Linked DNA regions of Arabidopsis thaliana. The protein of the gene in region 2 interacts with the protein of the main gene of each other region in a pairwise test. Each region holds a gene or a part of one and is shown on either strand. Other genes may lie near its edges. The genes, in order: AT1G01230, AT4G27610, PERK4 and BAM2.

Region 1 (3,949 bases), on a different chromosome or scaffold from region 2:
AAGAGAGAATCGACGGCTATTACGATATGGACCCTACTTTCGATTTAATGGATAAGATGTTTTTATTTATTTTCTTACATTGGACCACAATAAGAAAAAAAAAAAAAAAAATCATTAGTCTTATTCCAACTTTAATTAGTCATTCTTTCGTTTTGTCGGCTTTAATTTTGCAGGATATATCATGTTTTCGGGGTCCAATTAGCATTCTCTTTTTTTTTTTAATCACGTTAATTGATTACTTTTGTTAGCTTTATTCAATTTTGAAGAGGGATTAACTATTTTGTATACGTACACCATGATATAATATCCATCCAGGTGGACTTTAACTATGACACGTGTCATTAACCAGCTGTTAGAGATCTTGTAGGCAGCCACGTGTTCTTTAGATCCCACTGAATCATTACGCTCAATCGAAAACATTCTGGTGTTATGATAACTCATGAGTCACCACGACAGGAATCTTTGGGCCATTGTTAAATTCAATTATTGTTCAAGCCCATATTGCTATTAGGCCCATTATCTGAAGTGAAGTGGGGAGATGAAGGGAAAGCTTTTTCGTGTCTATTATAAAAGGTAAAAGATGAAAGCTTCAAAATTAGAGAGTTTACTTACAAATATCCAACAAAAAACATGACTCGAGAATTAAACCAACTCATATGAACATTTACACATATATATGTTCGCTTATATCCCCTTTTCCTTCTTTCAGGTGTTCTCTTGCCGTAAAGGAAACTTATTTATCACCATTGATACCAAAGATGCGTACCTTGTGCATGTTGGGGAACTTGGCAACAACGAGAACCATCACAGCGAGTGTGTTGAGGAACAGCCATGGATGTCTGTAATCTGTTGTATGCGATGCAATCAAGTACCTGTTTTAAATGTGTCGTTATAAAGTCAGAAAACAAGTACAAAAGCTAAAGAGCTCAATCTTAAAAGTTCATCCAGATAAATGCAGCTCTTGTTTATACACATTATCGCGTATACAGAGTTCTCTAGAACTAGTCCGTTACACATCACCGGATTTAGATATGTGTATTGAGAAATTAGCATATTTATTAACCATATGAGACACAAGGATATATGCAGCTAAAGAAAATAATTTGCTAAGAAAATATAGATTGGAAATAGACAAGAGTGGTGAGATTTTGAGGAACAAGGTGCTGGGACTTACAGAACAACAGGAACTAGGGTAAGAAATTTGCGGTTGCGGGTAAGCTGTTGACCATTGTCCATTTGTTCCCACCAAGTTAAACCATTGTAGATTCCTTGGTCATCTGCAAAAGGAGTTCCTTTCATCCAGTGGAAGCTGTGATACGTTACCTGACAACAAATATCCACAAATTTCTACTCAGACATCACATTTTCCTAAAGAGTAATTAGAAATTAGATTAAATTTGGTTTTGACAATCAAGCAATGCCAATTTACAAGTCACCGCATTATATCAAACAGTTAGACCTTAAGAAATTGCATTGATGCCATAGGTAGTTTTAGTTTCTGATATCAAAAACTGATAATTCATTAACGAGAAGGTGCATCTTAATTCGAAGCCTGATCCAAAACCGATCAATTCAAACTTAGAAGAGAATTGCATCTTACTTAAAAGCCTGATCAACTCAACAGTCAACACTGCTGATAGTATCCAAACAGATCAATTCAAAATCGCTGATACCAAAACTGATCAATTCATTGATAAGAAGGTAACTGTATCCTAATTCGAAGCCTGATCCAAGCTCAACGATATACGATAGCTAAAACTGATCAATCAGAAGGTAATTGCCTCTTCATTCGAACCCTAAACCAACTAAAAAATTGCTAATAACCAAAGAGATCAATTCAAACACTAGAGCCAGATTCACATCCAGATCTCAGGAAATAAAAAAAAAACAAGGAATCAATCCATCATCTAATTTAAAGTCACAACCCTAAGTGAAAAAATCATCTCTAAAGCATAAACACAATCGAAGACTTACAACGAAGTGAGCGAGATTAACAACAGTCCAAGCCATTCCAGGGGAACAACCAGAGACAGAGAGAACAACGAGCCAACCGAAGAAGAGAATAAGCATGTAAGTCGTCCAAACTCCTGGATACATGAACCATTCCGTATTCCTATTCATATCCGGTGGTGGAACCGCTTTCACATACAGATTCGCCATTTCTTCTTCAATCAGATCGGATCGGATCGAATCTCGTCTTCTTTTGATCAAAATCTTATATTAACACCTGAACTAAAAACCCAGATTCACAAAATTCTCTATTTCGGCGAGAACAAGGATTGTTTGTTTCTTTGGTTTAATTTTGTGTGCCCGTGAAAGACGACGACTGCTTTTTTGCATCTACACTGGGCATTAATTAATTATTGGGATATTTTTGACATTACCCAAACCAAAACGTCTGCGTTTTCATTTTGTACAGACAGAAAATAGGCCAACAAATGCAATAAAGGGAACATAAAACCAACATGAGGATTCTAACTGAAATGTTTTCTTATGTATATCGAAATTCGTGAACAAAGGTGATAGGTATCTGTTTGTCACCTAACATAGTCGGTATCAGAATCTTCTTCTTCGTCTTCTTCTTCTTCTTCACCTTGCTCAATGGTCTTTACGTCAAGGTTGAGAGCCAAATCCTCAACTGAGACCTTAATGACGTCGCTTCTAACACCAATATCGGTAGCATAGCGACTCATACAGTACATACCAGCAGTAACTGTTGCCACACCAATGGGACTTGGAATAAGCAATTTGAAAGGAGAAGAGAGGAGTGCAGCCAAAGGAGCACCAACAATTGAAGAAGCTTGACCGCTTCTCCCTACACCGAGCTTATCCATTATAAGCAAACCGGTCTTGCAATAGAGCGCGAAATCCTCACAGTTGTTCTTGAAAATGTCGTAGTTGCCAAATCCGTTTTGGAGAAGGTACATTGCCCTGTGGATGACTGAATCAGTTGTATCAGATTGCGCGGTTGTGCAAGTCCCTCCGCGGACTTTGGTTAGGAAAACCGATGGACTGACTCCATATTCGAAGCAGTAGAGTGAGCCGTTCTTGAGGAAACAGTCTAAGCAAGAAAGGACTACTCCACTGTCCGGTTGTCTGAAACCGCAATCAGGAAATATGGAACAGATATCTTCAGAGGAAGATGATGATATTGATGATGTTGATGAATCCATGGGGTTGTGTTCAGGTCTGAAATGAACAACTTTGGACCCACCGACAAAGATTCCTGCAAAAATCCACAATCAAATCAAAGCCCATGAAGGAATGTCTACAACAGTATCAATTCTTCATCACCAGAGGAAATTGGGATAAAAATATGTCAAATAAACAAAAATCATCTATAAAGTCCATCAGAGATCAGAAGATATGATGGAATAACATCAAAATACAGAGCCAGGGTGAAATTAGGTCATGCAAAGATTGGAATATAGACCATTGTCTTCAAGATCTATCTAGATAAAGTCGTCAACTTTGTGAATTTACAGTTTCAATAAGAAGATTAAACCGACCAGTAGAAACTAAAAGAAAAGACTTGCATTGAGGATAATTTCACTTTTTGATGTTATGATTGAATGAACGAGAAAGAAAGGAGCAAACTTGGGAAGAATGAATCTAAAGTTACCGTGGTGAGAATAAGCGAAGATTGCTCTGTAAGTATAGATGTGATCTCCTGGCTTTAGCTCTTCTCTCTCAATCTTGTTCGTAAGCAAACCCATTTTTCTTCTTCTCTCTCTCTCTGCACAAAGCTTTTTTTTACCTTGCTTGTGGAAAATGCAGGAAACGGCGTTACAAGTGTAAGCTCTAACGGTGGGATCTGACGTCAGCGAGATAGGTAAGGTAAAGTAACGTTTTTTGGAGTGGCATTATCTAATTCGATAAACGAACTAGAGAGAGCTGTTGAGCAAACCCGTTACAGAGTCTTTTAACGGCGTTATCTCCAAATCCAAAT
Region 2 (5,243 bases):
CTGCACTCCCGGTGAGAGTTTGTGAGTTTGTTATTCTTACTACTGAATTTGCTTATACATAACTTCACTTCACATAGTCTCTTACTGGGGTTTGATTTTGTGGTATCTTTGAAGTGAAAAGAGATTTTGGGAGATGTTGTCAAATAGTTGAAAGAATATGGAGATGGTTCTTACATATTTGTAGCCTCTAGTATCTTGCATAATGATCTTTGTAACCCAATCAGGAACAATATTTGACTAAAGATGTCTTTGTACCCCAATCAGGATTCATACTTAAGTAGCTACTTACGTTAATGAGCTGGAAACTATGAAGGCTGTAGTATTATCCCCCAATGATGGCTTGTGTTATGGCAGAAAAGTTTTGTGTGGGTGTTCTGAGAGTTGGCTTCTTATTTTCATTTATGCAGGAACTGAGAATGGGGAAGGAAATCATGCTACAAATGAGCAAATGGCAGAGTCCAGTACTTCTCTGCCTCTTGTGACAGTTCCTGCTTCATCATATAGCAAAGAGAGTGCAGTCGTATGGGGATCTTCTCCTGACCACCTGGAAGTGCCGATGAAAGCATACCATCAACATTCGACCTGCTCAGATTCTCCTTGCGTATCTGAATCCGGCTCAGACATCTTCAGCAAGCGAGAAGTAATACAGAAACTGAGGCAACAGCTGAAGAGACGTGACGACATGATAGTTGAAATGCAGGAACAGATTCTAGAGCTGCAAAACTCGCTAAACGCCCAGATGGGACACTCTAGCCATATCCAAACACAGCTAGACGCAACAAACAGGGACCTGTTTGAATCAGAAAGAGAAGTCCAGAGACTGAGAAAGGCAATCGCTGATCACTGCGTGGGACACACAGGTAGCAATGGTTGGAGTGGCGATGTGAACAGCGAAAACAACTACGAGTCACCAGAAAATGGAATAAGGGATGGAGAAAGAATAGAGATGTTGAGAAAAGAAGTGGGTGAGCTTAAAGAAGTGATAGATGGGAAAGAGTATCTACTTAGGAGCTATAAGGAGCAGAAAACAGAGCTTTTGCAGAAGGTAAAAGAGTTGCAGCAGAGACTGGACTCGCAGCTCCCAAACATTTTGTAGGTGAAGAAGGTTAGGCATTGTGCATTCTTACCACTCTCTTTTGTTTCCCCGAGTAAAAAATATGAATCTTTGTTCAAAAATATCTCAATTTCTCCGGGGAAACTTATCAACTGACTACATTGTTTTGGGTGTCAATTATGATTTTATCCAAATTGTTTTTTTCTCTTGGTGAAGTGGATATTCGAAAGTTGCAAACTCATACAATATCGTGTCTCAAGGCTTAAATTGTAGAATTGCAGTTGAAGTTTTTTACAAGAAAGTTGGTTACTTGTTCTTAAGGAAAGAGAAAGAAGGGTTGCTAAAATTTAATTTGGCACTTATTTCAGTCAGGTTTTGATATTCATAAGGAAGAAAATCGTTAGAGAAGGAAGGACCAAATATTTAATTTTGTAGTTGTCACATAGTGAAGAAGACAAAAGAAAAATGTATCATCACATTAGCTGGTAGTGACTTAAAATAGAAAAAAAAAAATAATCAACAGAAAGTGCAAACATTTACACATGGATAAAGATGTCAAATGTTCATTCATACTCAAATTATCTATTAAATTTCATTACTAAAAAATTGAAATCGTAAAGAAGAAAAGAAAGAAGAAAAAAACATATGAGCTGAGTTTGTTAACCACCGTGAGCGTCATCCATGGGACGTGGTTGACGCGTGCGTGATTTTATTTTAATAAATGAATTAACAGTGGAAGGAAAAAACAACAACGGAGCTGTAACTGTGAGGCGCCGTCTCTCTTCAACCTCTTCCCCTCCACTTTGCTTCTCTCTCTCCTCCCCGGGGGTTTTACAGTCATATCATCGTCGGAGACTCTGCGATTCTTCACGGAATCGTATTTCTCTCTCAGCGATTTTTTTCGATTCTCGAAGCTGCAAGGACCACCCATCAAACATTGAAACTCAAGCGGGAGAAATTTTCTGGCTCGGGAGGGAAACTATGGAGCCCTAATGCCCATTTTCTGCTGTCTATGAGGTTTTTTAAAGAGTCCTTTATACTCTCCCTGTTTTTGGGTGCTTCGCTCGCTCACTGATTTTTGATTCGTCGGAAAATCTATTTTCGAGCTCGGATTTATGTAATTCCTTATTCTCCTTCTGATTGCGATTGTTGTGTTCATTAAGGGTTGTTGGGATATCGATTAACGGCCCCTATCGAAAAAAATAAGGGTTGTTATTATTTTCATTTCGCTTCATGTTCAAGGCAAGTATCTATCTCTTCTTCTTGCTTTTGTAGTTTTAGAATCTAAATCCCATGGCATCAACGTTTCGATTACTCTTTCAGGGAACTCCATTTTTCTTGCATTTGCTTTTTTTGAGGTAGAGTCTGTGCTCCTATATGATTCCATGGATTCGTCGTATACTTTCTCAACTGAGAATGTTTGACTTAGAGAATCTTCCATTTTTTTTTTTGTCTTTCTCTTTTCAGTGTTACTATCATTTTAGATCTTTTTTTTGTTTTTCCTTCTCTGGTTGACTGTGTTTGAGGTAATGCTCAAAACGTGATTCTTTGTGCTCATTATCTTTTCATATTCTAGTTTCTGGAATCTTTCTGGGTATTAAGCATTTGATGATTTTAAAATTGTATATTTGTTGATTTTATTGAGTTGACACCAGGTTTCTTGTTGACATATGCCCAATTCATTCTGATCGTTGATGATGATTGATTCTTGTATCCGTTCAATGTAGGTTATGTTTGGATGATAGATACATTTTGACTTTCTCATACAATGAGTACACGAAGAAATGGCATTTCCAAGCATCAGCGAGGTGATAAATTTTGTGGTGAAGGGCCAAACTGGATACTAATTGCAGGGGGTGCATTGTTGAGCACATTGTCCATTCGCTTTGGATACAAGCTAAAGCAGTCGCTTGATTCGAAACCTCAATCAAATGGCTCTGCTGGATTAAAACGTACTTACTTTATCGCTGTGTTGCTTAACATGTTTTATAATTTGGTTCTAGTTTTTTTCTATCACTAAATGAAAGCCTCTTGTGCAGCTAATGGAACATCTGAGAGGCAAAAATCTACAAGCTGTTGCTTACACTCTACCACATCTTCCTGTACACAAAATAATGATTTTTGTTGCTTCCGCTCCATTCCAGGTGTGACTTTGTAACTTTCTGTTTTGCCTCATACATATTTGTTCAATCTACTAAACAAACGCTATATGCTTGTTTCTTGGTCTCGCATCATGTCTTACTGGGTTTCCTTTCATGAAGTTAAAACGATGTGTGATATATAGTAAAATCTAGTTGGGAGAATGTGTAGATGTTGTTATAGAGTTCTAGCCTCTGTTATCTTACCTCATGATGTATTTGTCAACTAGGGGAATCCAATTCGAAGTTATGGAATGAGTAAAATAGTTACAAGATTTGCCACCTTGCAATAACTGGTTGAATCGAATATCTCTTGTTTCGTTGTGGCATATTACCATTAATTTGCATCAATTGGGCTGGCAACTAGGGAAGCAGGTTTTCTCCATTGATGGCTGTGTCTAGTGGCTGAATGCTAAAAACAGTTACTAGTTTTGTTATCTACCAAGACCTCGTTAAGCATAGTTACAAGTTTTGTACTATTAGATCCAGACCTGAGTTATGTTTTCTCTTTGGAAAATCTCTGAATCCTAATATTCATGTAGTCCAGAGCAAACAGTCGTGTATGGATCTTATCAGCCTTTGCTTCTTTATTTTTATAGGAACTGAGAGTGTGGAAGGAAAAGAGGTGACAAGCGAGCAAATGATATCCGCATCTGACACTTCACTGCCTCTTGTGACAGTTCCTGCTCCATCGAGCAAAGAGAATGGAGTCATGTGGGCAACTTCTCCTGATCGCCTGGAACTTCCCCCAAGACCATACAATCACAATTCAAACTGCTCAGATTCTCCTTGCGTATCTGAAACCAGCTCAGACATTTTCAGCAAACGAGAAGTAATACAGAAACTAAGGCAGCAGCTGAAGAGACGGGATGACATGATACAGGAAATGCAAGAACAGATTCTAGAGCTGCAAAACTCGTATAACGCACAGACGGCACACTCAAGCCATCTCCAGGCACAGCTAGACACACTGAACAGAGATCTGTTTGAATCAGAAAGAGAAGTTCAAAGACTGAGAAAGGCAATTGCTGATCACAGCGTGGGATGTGGCGCGGACAGCAATGGCAAGACATCTCCGGTTGGACCTTGGAATGGCGGGTTTATGGACAGCGAAAGCAATTATGAGTCACAAGAAAAGAGCCTAAGGGATGGAGAAAGAGTAGAGATGTTGAGAAAGGAAGTGAGTGAGCTTAAAGAAGTGATAGATGGGAAAGAGTATCTACTTAGAAGCTATAAGGAGCAGAAGATTGAGCTTTCGCAGAAGGTAAAAGAGTTGCAGCAGAGACTGGACTCACAGCTCCAAAACTTATTGTAGGTGGAAAGGTTAGGCATTGTGCATACTTGCGTCTCTTATTTTTTTTTTCGGTTCTTTTTCCTTTTTCGAGAAAATGAATCTTAGTATGTACTAAGAACGGTGGAGATCAAGATTTTCAGGTTCTTTCTGGCTTTCTGCTTTCGTTTTTGAATGTCTTGATTCTGTTTTTTCTTTCAACATTTGGTGTAAAGGTAAATAGATAGTTGTTGAAGAATTTACCGCGGGAATAGCTCTCTACTTTTTTTTTTTTTTTATTCTCCGTAATTGGTAACTAACCCGATAATTACAAACGCCACGTATAAGGATGTGTTCACTAGAAGAATTAGCCAATTTTAACACAAATGATAAATAGTATAAACAAATTTTAAATTTATAAATAGACGCAACATACATTATTATTTTTAAGATACAGTTAAAATAAAATTGTTAGCAATTATGCTTATTCTGAAATTTTGGGTTTGAATATAAATAAGAAATAGAGTTTTATCCTAATAAGATTTATATAAATAAACATATAAAGTCAAAGTCATACTTTATCCTCTCAGAGGCCGTCTCTCGGGTTTTGCTGGTCTTCCTTGCTCCTCTCGCTTTTGAATGGAGATGTGAGCTTTCTTCATTCAAAGAGCAAAACTATCTAATTCCATGGCGTTCTCCCTCCTCTCTCCAATTCCTACCTCTGCCTCTCTTTTTTTCACTCTCTCCGCCATTACCGCTTCTAATAATGCTTCCTCCTCCT
Region 3 (5,895 bases), on a different chromosome or scaffold from region 2:
CTGAAGAACGGTTCAGAGACATCTTAACCGCTGCGGAAGTAGATGTGACAGAGATAAAAGAAGTTGGTGGCGGCGTTAAGAAGAAGAATCACGGTAAAAGTGTTTGGAGGGAGTTGGTGATAAAACCGCGACCTGCGGTGCGTTTGATCTTGATAGCGGCCGTTGGGATACACTTTTTCGAGCATGCGACGGGGATTGAGGCCGTCGTGTTGTACAGCCCGAGAATTTTCAAGAAAGCCGGAGTTGTTTCGAAAGACAAGCTCTTACTAGCCACGGTCGGTGTAGGTTTAACTAAGGCCTTTTTCATAATAATAGCCACTTTCTTGCTCGACAAGGTAGGTCGTAGAAAGCTCCTGTTGACCAGTACGGGTGGGATGGTCTTCGCATTGACCAGTTTAGCGGTTAGTCTCACGATGGTTCAGCGATTTGGGCGGTTAGCGTGGGCATTGAGTTTAAGCATCGTCTCTACGTATGCATTTGTAGCTTTTTTCTCCATAGGGCTTGGACCTATCACATGGGTGTACAGCTCCGAGATATTCCCGTTGAGACTTAGGGCTCAGGGAGCGAGTATAGGTGTTGCGGTTAATAGGATCATGAACGCGACGGTCTCAATGAGTTTTCTGTCGATGACGAAGGCGATCACGACAGGGGGCGTGTTCTTCGTATTCGCCGGAATAGCGGTGGCGGCATGGTGGTTCTTCTTCTTTATGTTGCCGGAGACGAAAGGATTGCCATTGGAGGAGATGGAGAAGCTTTTTGGTGGTGGGGGTCCTCGTGGTGATCGTGACGGACTTGAGATTCAAACTAAAACCATCTCTATTGGGGGTTTCTCATAAGAGTTTCTCACAATTAAAAAAATAAAAATAATAAAAATGAAGGAGAGAGAGTGTAGAAAGATTCTCAGAAACTTTGAGATACTCTCTACAACCCATCATGACAATTCGCTTCTCACTATTGGTTCAACTTTTTAACAAAAATATTTTTTTAATCAAAAATTCAAATTATAATATAATATTAATTTTTTTTTGTTTGAGAAACTTTGTGGGTTTCTCATGGATGGAGATGCCCTTAGAGAGTCAATAATTAGGTTAGATTATCATGGCTATGTAGAATAATTTTTAAATCCAACATGATTTGGCATATCTATTATAAGGTGTGATTTTTTGTAAAGGACAAAGTATGATTTTTATATTCATCCCTTTTTACTGTAGCTAATGAGAATCTACAACCTAATAAAAAACAATAACAATTATTTAATTATAAAATCTAATAGTTCACCAAAACAAAATCATATATCGGTTTGGATTTATAAGAGAGGGTTAAAGTTTAAATTTTATGATTAAACGAAGTTAAATACCAGTTTAGGTTTATAAACGATTTTAGATTTTAGAATCAAACGAGGTTAAATGTCGGTTTAGAGTTATAAACGGGTTTGGATTTTACAATTAGATGAGGTTAAATGTCGGTTTGAGTTTTAGAAAGAACGATTTAAGTTTAGATTTTACAATTAATCGAGTTTAAATGTCGGTTTGGATTTACAAAATAGAATTAGAGTTTAAATTTTGTAATTAAACAAAATTATATATCGGTTTGAGTTTATGAAATAGTGGTTAAGATTATAGATTTTATAATTAAATGAGTTTATTTATTTATTAGGTGACATATTCTAATTGGCTGAAAGAGGTGAATGAAAAGGTGAACCAAGAATTGTTCGATTTTTAACTACACATCTAATTCTAGACTCTAGAGTATGCATATTAATGTTTCCAGAGATCAGAAAGTGCTTAAACAAAACATATTGATCACTTCATGGTTTTTAAGTCTTAGTTTAATTGATGGAAAGGAGAGGATTACCAATACTGAAGTAGAGTCATAGTTGATATTTGAGGGGTGAGAACCCTGAGATTCGTAAAGAAATCGATGAACTTGTGCGTGAAGAAATTAGTTTGATCATGCTCAAAGGTCTAAATAATAAAAAACCTTGACATTTGTTCCCAATTGAAGTCCTTTAATTGTGAGAAAAATTATGTTGCTCTAGAGCAATATTGAAGAAAAAGGAGACATATCACATATGGGAAGACCTGAGGAGCAATGATTTGATTTGACGGACCAAAATAAACCAGAGATTTTCCTGACAAATTAAGGTAATAATGCATGAGGTTACGTGGAAATGAATCAACAATCGTTAGCTCCTAATATCACGGAGCCAAAAAGAGAAAAATTAGACCGGAGATTATTACAATTAGTAACTAACACAAAACTGTTATTAAGACAGAAAGAGAGAGAAGAGGCATGTTTCTCGGAATGAAGACAGAGCAAATCTCAATCTTCCTTTTTCACCTTATTCCTATTATCATTTTCTGATCAAATGTTCAAAAACTCTCTCCCCTTAATCTCTTCCTCTAAGGTACACACTTTCATGCTAATCTCTTAACTAATTTTGTATTAATCTCTTATATTTAGCATTACCTGTTTTGTTAACGATCTAACGAACATAATAAGACAAGAACTTGTTCCAACGTTAACACCATTTTGATTATGATCTGTTTTTTCTACGTGTTGTTGTTGTTGTTCTCAGAATAATTGAGTGGTTAAGGGAGAGAGGAGACGGAGAGTTTTTATTTTCGTTACCGGAAAATTTTGATCTCCGATGGCTTCTTCTCCTGAATCTGCTCCTCCAACAAACTCCACCTCTTCTCCATCTCCACCGTCTAATACCAATTCAACCACCTCTTCTCCGCCGGCTCCGTCTCCTCCTTCTCCTACACCTCCTCAAGGAGACTCATCATCATCGCCACCTCCTGATTCCACATCTCCACCAGCTCCACAAGCTCCTAACCCTCCTAATTCCTCTAATAACTCTCCTTCCCCTCCGTCACAGGGCGGTGGAGGAGAAAGAGGAAATGGAGGAAACAATGGTGGCAATGATACTCCACCGTCACGCGGCTCTCCTCCTTCTCCTCCTTCTAGGAGTAATGGAGATAATGGTGGTAGCAGATCATCGCCACCAGGAGACACTGGAGGCTCTCGCTCAGACAACCCTCCTTCTAGCGGAGGAAGCAGTGGAGGAGGTGGAGGTGGAAGAAGTAATACGAATACAGCGATCATAGTTGGTGTATTAGTCGGAGCTGGACTTTTGATGATCGTTCTTATTATTGTGTGTCTTAGACGCAAAAAGAAGAGAAAAGACTCCTTCTACCCTGAACCCATGAAAGGTAAAAACATATACACACTCTTATGTTTCAACAAATAAGAAGCTTAGATTCTTTCATAAAATTTCAGGAAACCAATATCAATACTATGGAAACAACAACAACAACAATGCTTCACAGAATTATCCGAATTGGCACCTAAATTCACAAGGCCAAAACCAACAATCTACTGGTGGTTGGGGAGGCGGTGGACCATCACCGCCTCCTCCTCCGCGGATGCCTACAAGCGGAGAAGATTCTTCCATGTACTCAGGCCCATCACGCCCAGTTTTACCTCCTCCTTCGCCTGCTCTAGCCCTCGGATTCAACAAGAGCACTTTTACTTACCAAGAGCTTGCGGCTGCAACAGGAGGGTTTACGGATGCTAACCTTTTGGGACAGGGAGGATTTGGGTATGTCCATAAAGGAGTCTTGCCTAGCGGGAAAGAAGTAGCAGTTAAGAGTTTAAAAGCGGGTAGCGGACAAGGAGAGAGGGAGTTTCAAGCTGAGGTCGATATCATTAGCCGTGTGCATCATCGGTATCTTGTTTCTTTGGTTGGATATTGCATAGCTGATGGACAGAGGATGTTGGTTTATGAGTTTGTTCCTAACAAAACTTTGGAATATCATCTTCATGGTTAGACCACTTAAAAACTTTGAGTACTAAGTTTATTTTCTCTAATCTATATATTCAAGAAAGTTGTAACCTTAATTTGTTGTTGTAGGGAAAAATCTTCCGGTAATGGAGTTCTCCACTAGGTTGCGTATCGCCTTAGGTGCTGCGAAAGGACTCGCTTACCTTCACGAAGACTGTAAGTTTTAACATTCACCATTCTCATTTTCTTAACCAAGTTGCATAAAACAGAGAAAGCTCTGTCTCTGACTAGTGTTATCTTTTTGGCTGAGAAAATGGTGCAGGCCATCCTCGGATCATTCACCGCGACATCAAGTCTGCAAATATTCTCTTGGACTTCAACTTTGATGCTATGGTGATAAACTAGTAGCTTGCATTCATCTACGGTTTTTTGTTAAGACTACATTGATGACATTTTGCATTTGTTTATTCAGGTGGCTGATTTTGGATTAGCTAAGTTAACATCTGATAACAACACTCATGTATCTACTCGTGTGATGGGAACTTTCGGGTAAGCGTTTTACCGTATGATAAGATTGTTCGTGACACTCAAGAAACATAACCTTTGTAGACTAATCTACTTTGCTTCTTTCCACAAACATGTGTAGATATCTAGCTCCAGAATATGCTTCAAGCGGTAAATTAACCGAGAAATCCGATGTTTTCTCTTACGGAGTTATGTTATTGGAACTTATAACTGGAAAACGACCGGTTGATAATAGCATCACCATGGACGACACCTTAGTAGATTGGGTATTCATGCATGTAACATATGTATCGTGTATATATGTTTTTCGCCTTTTTCGCGTACTAATGATCATGAATACAGGCTCGGCCTCTTATGGCTCGCGCGCTAGAAGATGGAAACTTTAATGAGCTCGCAGATGCGAGGCTTGAAGGCAACTACAACCCGCAAGAAATGGCTCGAATGGTGACTTGTGCCGCTGCTAGCATTCGTCATTCGGGGCGTAAACGTCCAAAGATGAGCCAGGTGAATCAAAATTATAACTAAAAGTCTATTTTTGTCAGAGAATAACAAACAAATGTTGTGGTTTTCAGATAGTAAGAGCGTTAGAAGGAGAAGTGTCCTTAGATGCTTTAAACGAAGGTGTGAAGCCAGGACACAGTAACGTTTACGGGTCATTGGGAGCAAGCTCGGATTATAGTCAGACATCTTACAATGCAGACATGAAGAAATTCAGACAGATAGCTTTGTCGAGCCAAGAATTCCCAGTCAGTGACTGTGAAGGAACATCTAGTAATGATTCTAGAGATATGGGAACTAAGAGCCCTACTCCTCCAAAATGAGATCGAATCAATGATTCTGTAAAGAAGAGATTTTGGGGCTCTGAGAGTAGAGCAATGTAAGCTTTAAGCAAAAGCATTGTCATTGCTTGATTGGTTGGTTTTTTTTTTCATATATTTTTCGACTAAATTGTGTTATGTTTAGATCGTTACGTATGTGTATGATTCTTGAGATTTGATTCGATTCTCAAACATGAAATTAAAATTGTTTGATTTTGAATTGTATCTACTACATGTCTACATTCATAATCAAAGTGACAAGCTTTTTCAACTTTGGCTTTATGCTGTTCTTTACATGCTCTGTTTTTCATCTGTTTTCGTAATCTACCAAAAATTAAACCTAAACAAACCGAACTCAAACCAGATTGTTTAACGAATCACAATTAAACCGGTCCGGTTAGAAAACCCTCGCGTGTGACGCCTACCTTTCCTCTTCTCCGTCGTCTCTCCCATTTCTTCCTCAAATCTCTCTTTTCACGCCAAATGAAAGTTTAAAACCTTTGAATTGTTTATTGAAAGTTTACATTTTTCTGTTGAATCCAACTATGTTTAGATTGAGAAGTCTCTTGTCGCTGAAGAGTTCTTCGATTGTAGAATTGTCATCACAAAACGTCACAGAAGCAATTCGTTTCGCTCCATTTCATTCGACAAGTGTTCTGTCTGAAAAATCGAGGAGTAGATTTGGTTCTGTAAGATCATTCTCTATAAAGATTTGCTTCCTTATTGAATCTATGTACACTGTAATTAGACGTATTGATGCTCTTA
Region 4 (6,025 bases), on a different chromosome or scaffold from region 2:
TTCTTTTTTTTAAACCCTACAAGATTTTGAAATGGACCACTTGAAAATTTGAACCCACTCTCTCTTTTTTTGTTTTCAATTTCGAAACCAAAATTTTTTAACAAAAAGATGACTTTGTGACCTTTGTTCTGTCTTTTAGCTACACACCAGTGGGCTGTTTGCTTTTACAGCGTGTCTTTCTGTTTACATGATTCAAGAGAAAGCAACAGTTCCTAAAGACTCAGTCATGTTTGTGTCTCTCCCAATTGATACAAAGACCAAAATTCAGCTTTGGTTCTTTTGTGTAAAAGTTCTCGAGATATGCTAATAAGATTAAACATAAAAACTCTCAAAAAGAGTATAAATTGAATTCTTTATGATTGTAGTAGCAAACAATAATTGTTAGGTTTAGTGCTATCATAATAATCTATTAGTCAGGTTAAATATATTCGATTTGGTACCAAATACGAAATCAAGCTTCAACAAACGAATCTGCAATACACACACACCCATCCAAAAGTATATCTTCGACATTTTCCCCAAAAAAGTATACATTTCCTAACACGTGCTTACCAATTCTTATCATTCGAAGTAAACCATTAAACAAGAAATGTTTTCATTATTATAAATTTTTCACTAATATAAGTTTATTATTTAGTGCAAGAAAGTGCGTTGCAGATGAAAACTTATTCTATTGATCCGGGTCCATAAAGAAGAAAACAAAAATTCACCTAATACGAGTACGACTTATTCTAGTGGCTACATATTTCCCTAATCATGTGACTAAAAATCTGCTTTCAAAATTTTGACATTCAGTATTTCTTTAGATCTATATCATTAAAAATTCATTTTTTTCTTTTGCATTTTGATTCCATATTTAATACAAGATTAAAAAAAAAAAAACTAATATGTTTGTTCACTGAGCAAACCATTATTGTTGATCAGTGAACTGTGGTAACTGGCAAAAGAAGCAAATGATTCGAAATCCTACTTTCTTACAAAATCAAATTGGATAATTTTGTGAGATAATAAAAAATCAGTATAAATAAAATAAAATACATGTCGGGAAACCATTATTGTTGATCAGTGAACTGTGGTAACTGGCAAAAGATGAAAATGATGCACATAGGACTGTGTTTAACTGACTTACTTCCACTAATCAAAAGTACGATCGTATCCCTACCCATCTCTCGAGGATCTTAACTGTTGCCGTGCGTCATCTCAAGGTTGTTCTCGTCATTATCAGTCGATCAGAGTACAGAGACCGGCTCTCTGGGTTTTGTCGATCATGCCATTGCCTTGGGGCTTGTTGTTGTGGTCCGTCCTAAGGATAGAAATGTTATTACAAAGCTTTTTAAGGGGTTCTTTGGTTAATTAAGTGTTTCGTTTTGCTTAAGAGAGGTTAAAGAAGCGGGTGTCTCAATAAGTTTTGGTAAGTTTGTGAATCCCCAGTGGTGGACTCCATCTTTTCCCGTCGAATTATAACATCAGGACCGTTCATTTCAACATCATCAATTAATTCATTATGGGGTTTATCTTTAAAACATCTTTTTGAATTTATGGTTCGCTTTGGTATTGCATTATTACACTTGTATACCTGTGTAATAAAGTGTTGGATTTTGTCAAGATTAGGTAACATCACGTTTCAAAACAACAAGGCTCCAAATTAATTAACATTTTCTTCATGTAATTATCGTTTTTGAATCCCTTCCTTTCTAATTCCATGTTTCATTAAATCCACCACATGCATATGTTTCTATATATGTTAAATAAACGACTTTTCAAGTTTTTAATTTGTGTTTTCTATTTTCAGAAAATTTATGTGAAATCAAAGTTTCTTAAAAATCTCCCTCCAAGTAAATTCCAAAATAAAATAAAAATAATACTTTTACAATATACAAATAAAACTCATAAAAAACACACACACAATCTTCATCTTCCTCACTTACTCTCACCCTTTTTAAAACCAAACCCTAACTTACACAGAAAGAGAAGAAAAAAAACAAAAAAAAAATGAAGCTTCTTCTTCTCCTCCTCCTCCTCCTTCTCCTCCACATTTCTCATTCCTTCACCGTCGCTAAACCAATCACCGAGCTCCACGCTCTTCTCTCACTCAAATCCTCCTTCACCATCGACGAACACTCACCTCTCCTGACCTCATGGAACCTTTCAACAACTTTCTGTTCATGGACCGGTGTCACGTGCGACGTCTCTCTCCGTCACGTGACCTCTCTCGACCTCTCAGGTCTTAACCTCTCCGGAACTCTCTCCTCCGACGTAGCTCATTTACCTCTGCTACAGAATCTATCACTCGCTGCTAATCAGATCTCAGGTCCTATTCCGCCGCAAATCTCCAATCTCTATGAGCTTCGTCACCTCAATCTCTCCAATAATGTCTTCAACGGTTCATTTCCCGATGAACTCTCCTCTGGATTGGTGAATCTCCGTGTTCTTGACTTATACAACAACAATTTAACCGGAGATTTACCGGTTTCACTCACTAATCTCACTCAGCTCCGTCATCTTCACCTCGGTGGGAATTACTTCTCCGGCAAAATCCCGGCGACGTACGGAACCTGGCCTGTTCTCGAATACTTAGCGGTTTCCGGTAACGAGCTAACCGGTAAAATCCCTCCGGAGATCGGAAACCTAACGACTCTTCGTGAACTTTACATCGGATATTACAACGCTTTTGAAAATGGTCTTCCACCGGAGATTGGAAATTTATCAGAGCTTGTTCGGTTCGACGCTGCTAATTGTGGTTTAACCGGAGAGATTCCACCGGAGATTGGGAAGCTTCAGAAGCTAGATACGTTGTTTCTTCAAGTAAACGCATTTACAGGGACAATAACTCAAGAGCTGGGATTGATTTCAAGCTTGAAATCGATGGATCTGTCTAACAATATGTTTACCGGCGAGATTCCGACGAGTTTTTCACAGCTGAAGAACTTAACGCTTTTGAATCTCTTCAGGAATAAGCTCTACGGTGCTATACCTGAGTTCATCGGTGAAATGCCGGAGCTTGAAGTGTTGCAGCTTTGGGAGAACAATTTCACTGGTAGTATTCCTCAGAAATTGGGGGAAAATGGTAGATTAGTGATTCTTGATCTCTCTTCGAACAAACTCACCGGAACTCTGCCGCCGAATATGTGTTCTGGTAACCGGTTAATGACGTTAATCACTCTTGGCAACTTCTTGTTTGGTTCAATACCGGATTCGCTTGGTAAATGTGAGTCTCTGACCCGGATCCGGATGGGTGAGAATTTCCTTAACGGGTCGATTCCAAAGGAGCTCTTCGGGTTACCTAAATTATCTCAAGTGGAGCTCCAAGACAATTACCTTACCGGAGAGTTGCCAATAAGCGGAGGAGGAGTCTCTGGTGACCTTGGTCAGATTAGTCTTTCTAATAACCAGCTCTCTGGTTCATTACCTGCAGCTATTGGAAACTTGTCCGGTGTTCAAAAACTACTTCTTGATGGTAACAAGTTCTCTGGTTCGATTCCTCCCGAGATTGGGAGGCTTCAGCAGCTATCTAAGTTGGATTTTAGCCACAATCTGTTCTCCGGTCGGATCGCACCGGAGATCAGTCGTTGTAAGCTGCTAACGTTTGTTGATCTTAGCCGTAATGAGCTCTCAGGTGATATTCCTAATGAACTCACAGGTATGAAGATCTTGAATTACTTGAATCTTTCAAGAAACCATCTCGTTGGTTCCATACCTGTGACGATAGCATCAATGCAGAGTTTGACATCGGTTGATTTCTCTTACAACAATCTCTCCGGTTTAGTTCCCAGCACTGGACAGTTTAGTTACTTCAATTACACATCGTTTGTGGGTAACTCTCATCTTTGTGGTCCGTATTTGGGTCCTTGCGGCAAAGGAACTCACCAGTCTCATGTCAAACCTTTATCTGCTACTACGAAACTGTTACTCGTCCTTGGATTGCTCTTTTGTTCGATGGTGTTTGCTATAGTGGCCATAATCAAAGCTCGGTCCTTGCGAAATGCGAGTGAAGCCAAGGCATGGAGATTGACTGCTTTCCAGAGGCTAGACTTCACTTGTGACGATGTCTTGGACTCTCTCAAGGAAGACAACATCATCGGTAAAGGCGGTGCTGGGATTGTCTACAAAGGCACTATGCCTAAAGGCGACCTAGTCGCGGTCAAACGATTGGCTACAATGTCCCATGGATCTTCCCACGATCACGGGTTCAACGCCGAGATTCAGACGCTAGGTAGAATCAGACACAGACACATCGTGAGACTGCTCGGTTTTTGCTCCAACCACGAAACGAATCTCCTTGTGTACGAGTACATGCCTAATGGTAGCCTTGGAGAGGTTCTTCATGGAAAGAAAGGAGGTCATTTACATTGGAACACACGTTATAAGATAGCTCTTGAAGCAGCCAAGGGTCTTTGCTATCTCCACCATGATTGTTCCCCGTTGATCGTCCATAGAGATGTTAAATCCAACAACATCCTCCTCGATTCCAACTTCGAAGCTCATGTCGCCGACTTTGGTCTCGCCAAGTTCCTCCAAGATTCCGGTACTTCTGAATGTATGTCCGCAATTGCCGGCTCCTACGGCTACATAGCTCCAGGTAACAAATTTGCAGAAAATGGCATTTAATCAAACACTTGGTGGTGAAATGTAAAATCTCTGAACTTGTTTGTTCCTTGTTGAGCAGAGTACGCGTATACATTGAAGGTAGATGAGAAGAGCGATGTGTATAGTTTCGGTGTTGTTCTTCTAGAACTCATCACCGGGAAAAAACCCGTCGGAGAATTTGGCGACGGCGTTGATATTGTTCAATGGGTGAGAAGCATGACGGATTCAAATAAAGATTGTGTGCTCAAAGTAATCGATCTTAGACTCTCTTCAGTTCCAGTTCACGAGGTAACACACGTCTTCTACGTTGCGTTGCTCTGCGTTGAAGAACAAGCGGTGGAGAGGCCGACGATGCGTGAAGTCGTTCAGATTCTCACTGAGATCCCAAAAATTCCTCTTTCGAAGCAGCAAGCGGCGGAATCAGACGTGACTGAGAAAGCTCCGGCGATTAATGAATCGTCGCCGGATTCAGGAAGTCCACCGGATCTTTTAAGTAATTAGACTTTCCGGCGATTGGGTTTGGTCATTGAGGGGCAAATTTGTCTTTCTAATTTTCTTGTCACCGACGTCTCGGTAGTGGAGTTAATTACTTAATTAGCCCGTTGTTGTCTGGTTCCGGTTAAGGCAACAATTAGTGGTTTAACTCTTAAGGTTGTTGCATTTCTTTTTTCACTGCTGCCACAATTATTCGTGTAGGAATTTTGAATATGTACATTGCGGTTGAATTTTGCATGATAAGTGGTTAATTTCAGGAAATCGAATTTCGAGAACATTATGGCTTATGCATATCAGCATATATATACATGCAGTTATGTATATGATCAATCTGCCCCCGGTTCAAGTATGTCAATTGTGTTAGACCAAAAAACACTTTTGCCCCTTATATTCTTAAGAACTTCATTTAGTTTCATACTCAAGCAAAAACTAATTTTTTAGAGTTTTCGTTGTCTTAAAATGAAACTAGTGTCTCCATTATGCTGGAATCTTGCTTATGAGTTGTTACATTACATATTTTATTCTCACCTTTGCTTTTACCCTTTTGGATTGTATCTGGTTGTGGTAGCTGTTGTGTCACAACAAGACATTCCATGTGAAAAAAACACAGAGAGGGTGAAACCAAGGTATGAATGTGTTTGTGTGGGACTGAAGATGAGTAACGCTGAGAAGAGAGAAAGTGAAAGCTCACTCACAATTTGTCCAATTATTGCAAATGTATGGGTAGTGTGACACTAGTGTCTTAATGAATTCAGATGGTCCTAAGATCTTTTTTCCACTCTATTCCCTTGTCTTGAAGCAAAAATCTAATTTTAGACGAAGCATTTATGACATCTCCCTCTCATTAATTACAAGCCATATATTCAACTTTGATTTTGACTCATCAATATCAAAAAATCTTTAGACTTTAGGTGTTGTTGCTATCCTTGGTATCTAGTACTTT

The links.
Region 1: the proteins of AT4G27610 (region 2) and AT1G01230 interact in a protein complementation assay, tested with the Arabidopsis thaliana proteins (one large-scale study listed by BioGRID).
Region 3: the proteins of AT4G27610 (region 2) and PERK4 interact in a protein complementation assay, tested with the Arabidopsis thaliana proteins (one large-scale study listed by BioGRID).
Region 4: the proteins of AT4G27610 (region 2) and BAM2 interact in a protein complementation assay, tested with the Arabidopsis thaliana proteins (one large-scale study listed by BioGRID).

Annotation. Positions count from the first base shown.
Region 1 is NC_003070.9:95,831-99,779, reverse strand, and holds AT1G01230 (ORMDL family protein), read right to left. Parts: upstream 2,369-3,949; 5' UTR 2,161-2,368; coding exon 1,975-2,160; intron 1,324-1,974; coding exon 1,175-1,323; intron 873-1,174; coding exon 734-872; 3' UTR 540-733; downstream 1-539. Other genes in the region: AT1G01225 (NC domain-containing protein-like protein), read right to left, coding at 2,538-3,226, 3,623-3,716.
Region 2 is NC_003075.7:13,784,912-13,790,154, reverse strand, and holds AT4G27610 (intracellular protein transporter), read left to right. Parts: upstream 1-1,639; 5' UTR 1,640-2,071; exon of another isoform or gene 2,072-2,781; 5' UTR 2,782-2,822; coding exon 2,823-3,006; intron 3,007-3,093; coding exon 3,094-3,198; intron 3,199-3,791; coding exon 3,792-4,507; 3' UTR 4,508-4,742; downstream 4,743-5,243. Other genes in the region: AT4G27620 (intracellular protein transporter), read left to right, coding at 1-11, 408-1,096; NARA5 (pfkB-like carbohydrate kinase family protein), read left to right, coding at 5,150-5,243.
Region 3 is NC_003071.7:8,004,523-8,010,417, reverse strand, and holds PERK4 (roline-rich extensin-like receptor kinase 4), read left to right. Parts: upstream 1-1,736; 5' UTR 1,737-2,144; intron 2,145-2,255; exon of another isoform or gene 2,256-2,271; 5' UTR 2,272-2,407; exon of another isoform or gene 2,408-2,578; 5' UTR 2,579-2,650; coding exon 2,651-3,215; intron 3,216-3,282; coding exon 3,283-3,828; intron 3,829-3,916; coding exon 3,917-4,003; intron 4,004-4,109; coding exon 4,110-4,180; intron 4,181-4,259; coding exon 4,260-4,336; intron 4,337-4,433; coding exon 4,434-4,578; coding exon of another isoform or gene 4,579-4,654; coding exon 4,655-4,816; intron 4,817-4,884; coding exon 4,885-5,133; 3' UTR 5,134-5,356; downstream 5,357-5,895. Other genes in the region: AT2G18480 (Major facilitator superfamily protein), read left to right, coding at 1-836; AT2G18465 (Chaperone DnaJ-domain superfamily protein), read left to right, coding at 5,676-5,819. UniProt on the Arabidopsis thaliana protein: Required during abscisic acid (ABA)-mediated activation of Ca(2+) channels. Regulates ABA signaling pathways. Modulates the expression of genes related to cell elongation and ABA signaling during root growth.
Region 4 is NC_003074.8:18,415,749-18,421,773, forward strand, and holds BAM2 (Leucine-rich receptor-like protein kinase family protein), read left to right. Parts: upstream 1-1,819; 5' UTR 1,820-1,992; coding exon 1,993-4,579; intron 4,580-4,666; coding exon 4,667-5,088; 3' UTR 5,089-5,515; downstream 5,516-6,025. UniProt on the Arabidopsis thaliana protein: Necessary for male gametophyte development, as well as ovule specification and function. Involved in cell-cell communication process required during early anther development, and regulating cell division and differentiation to organize cell layers.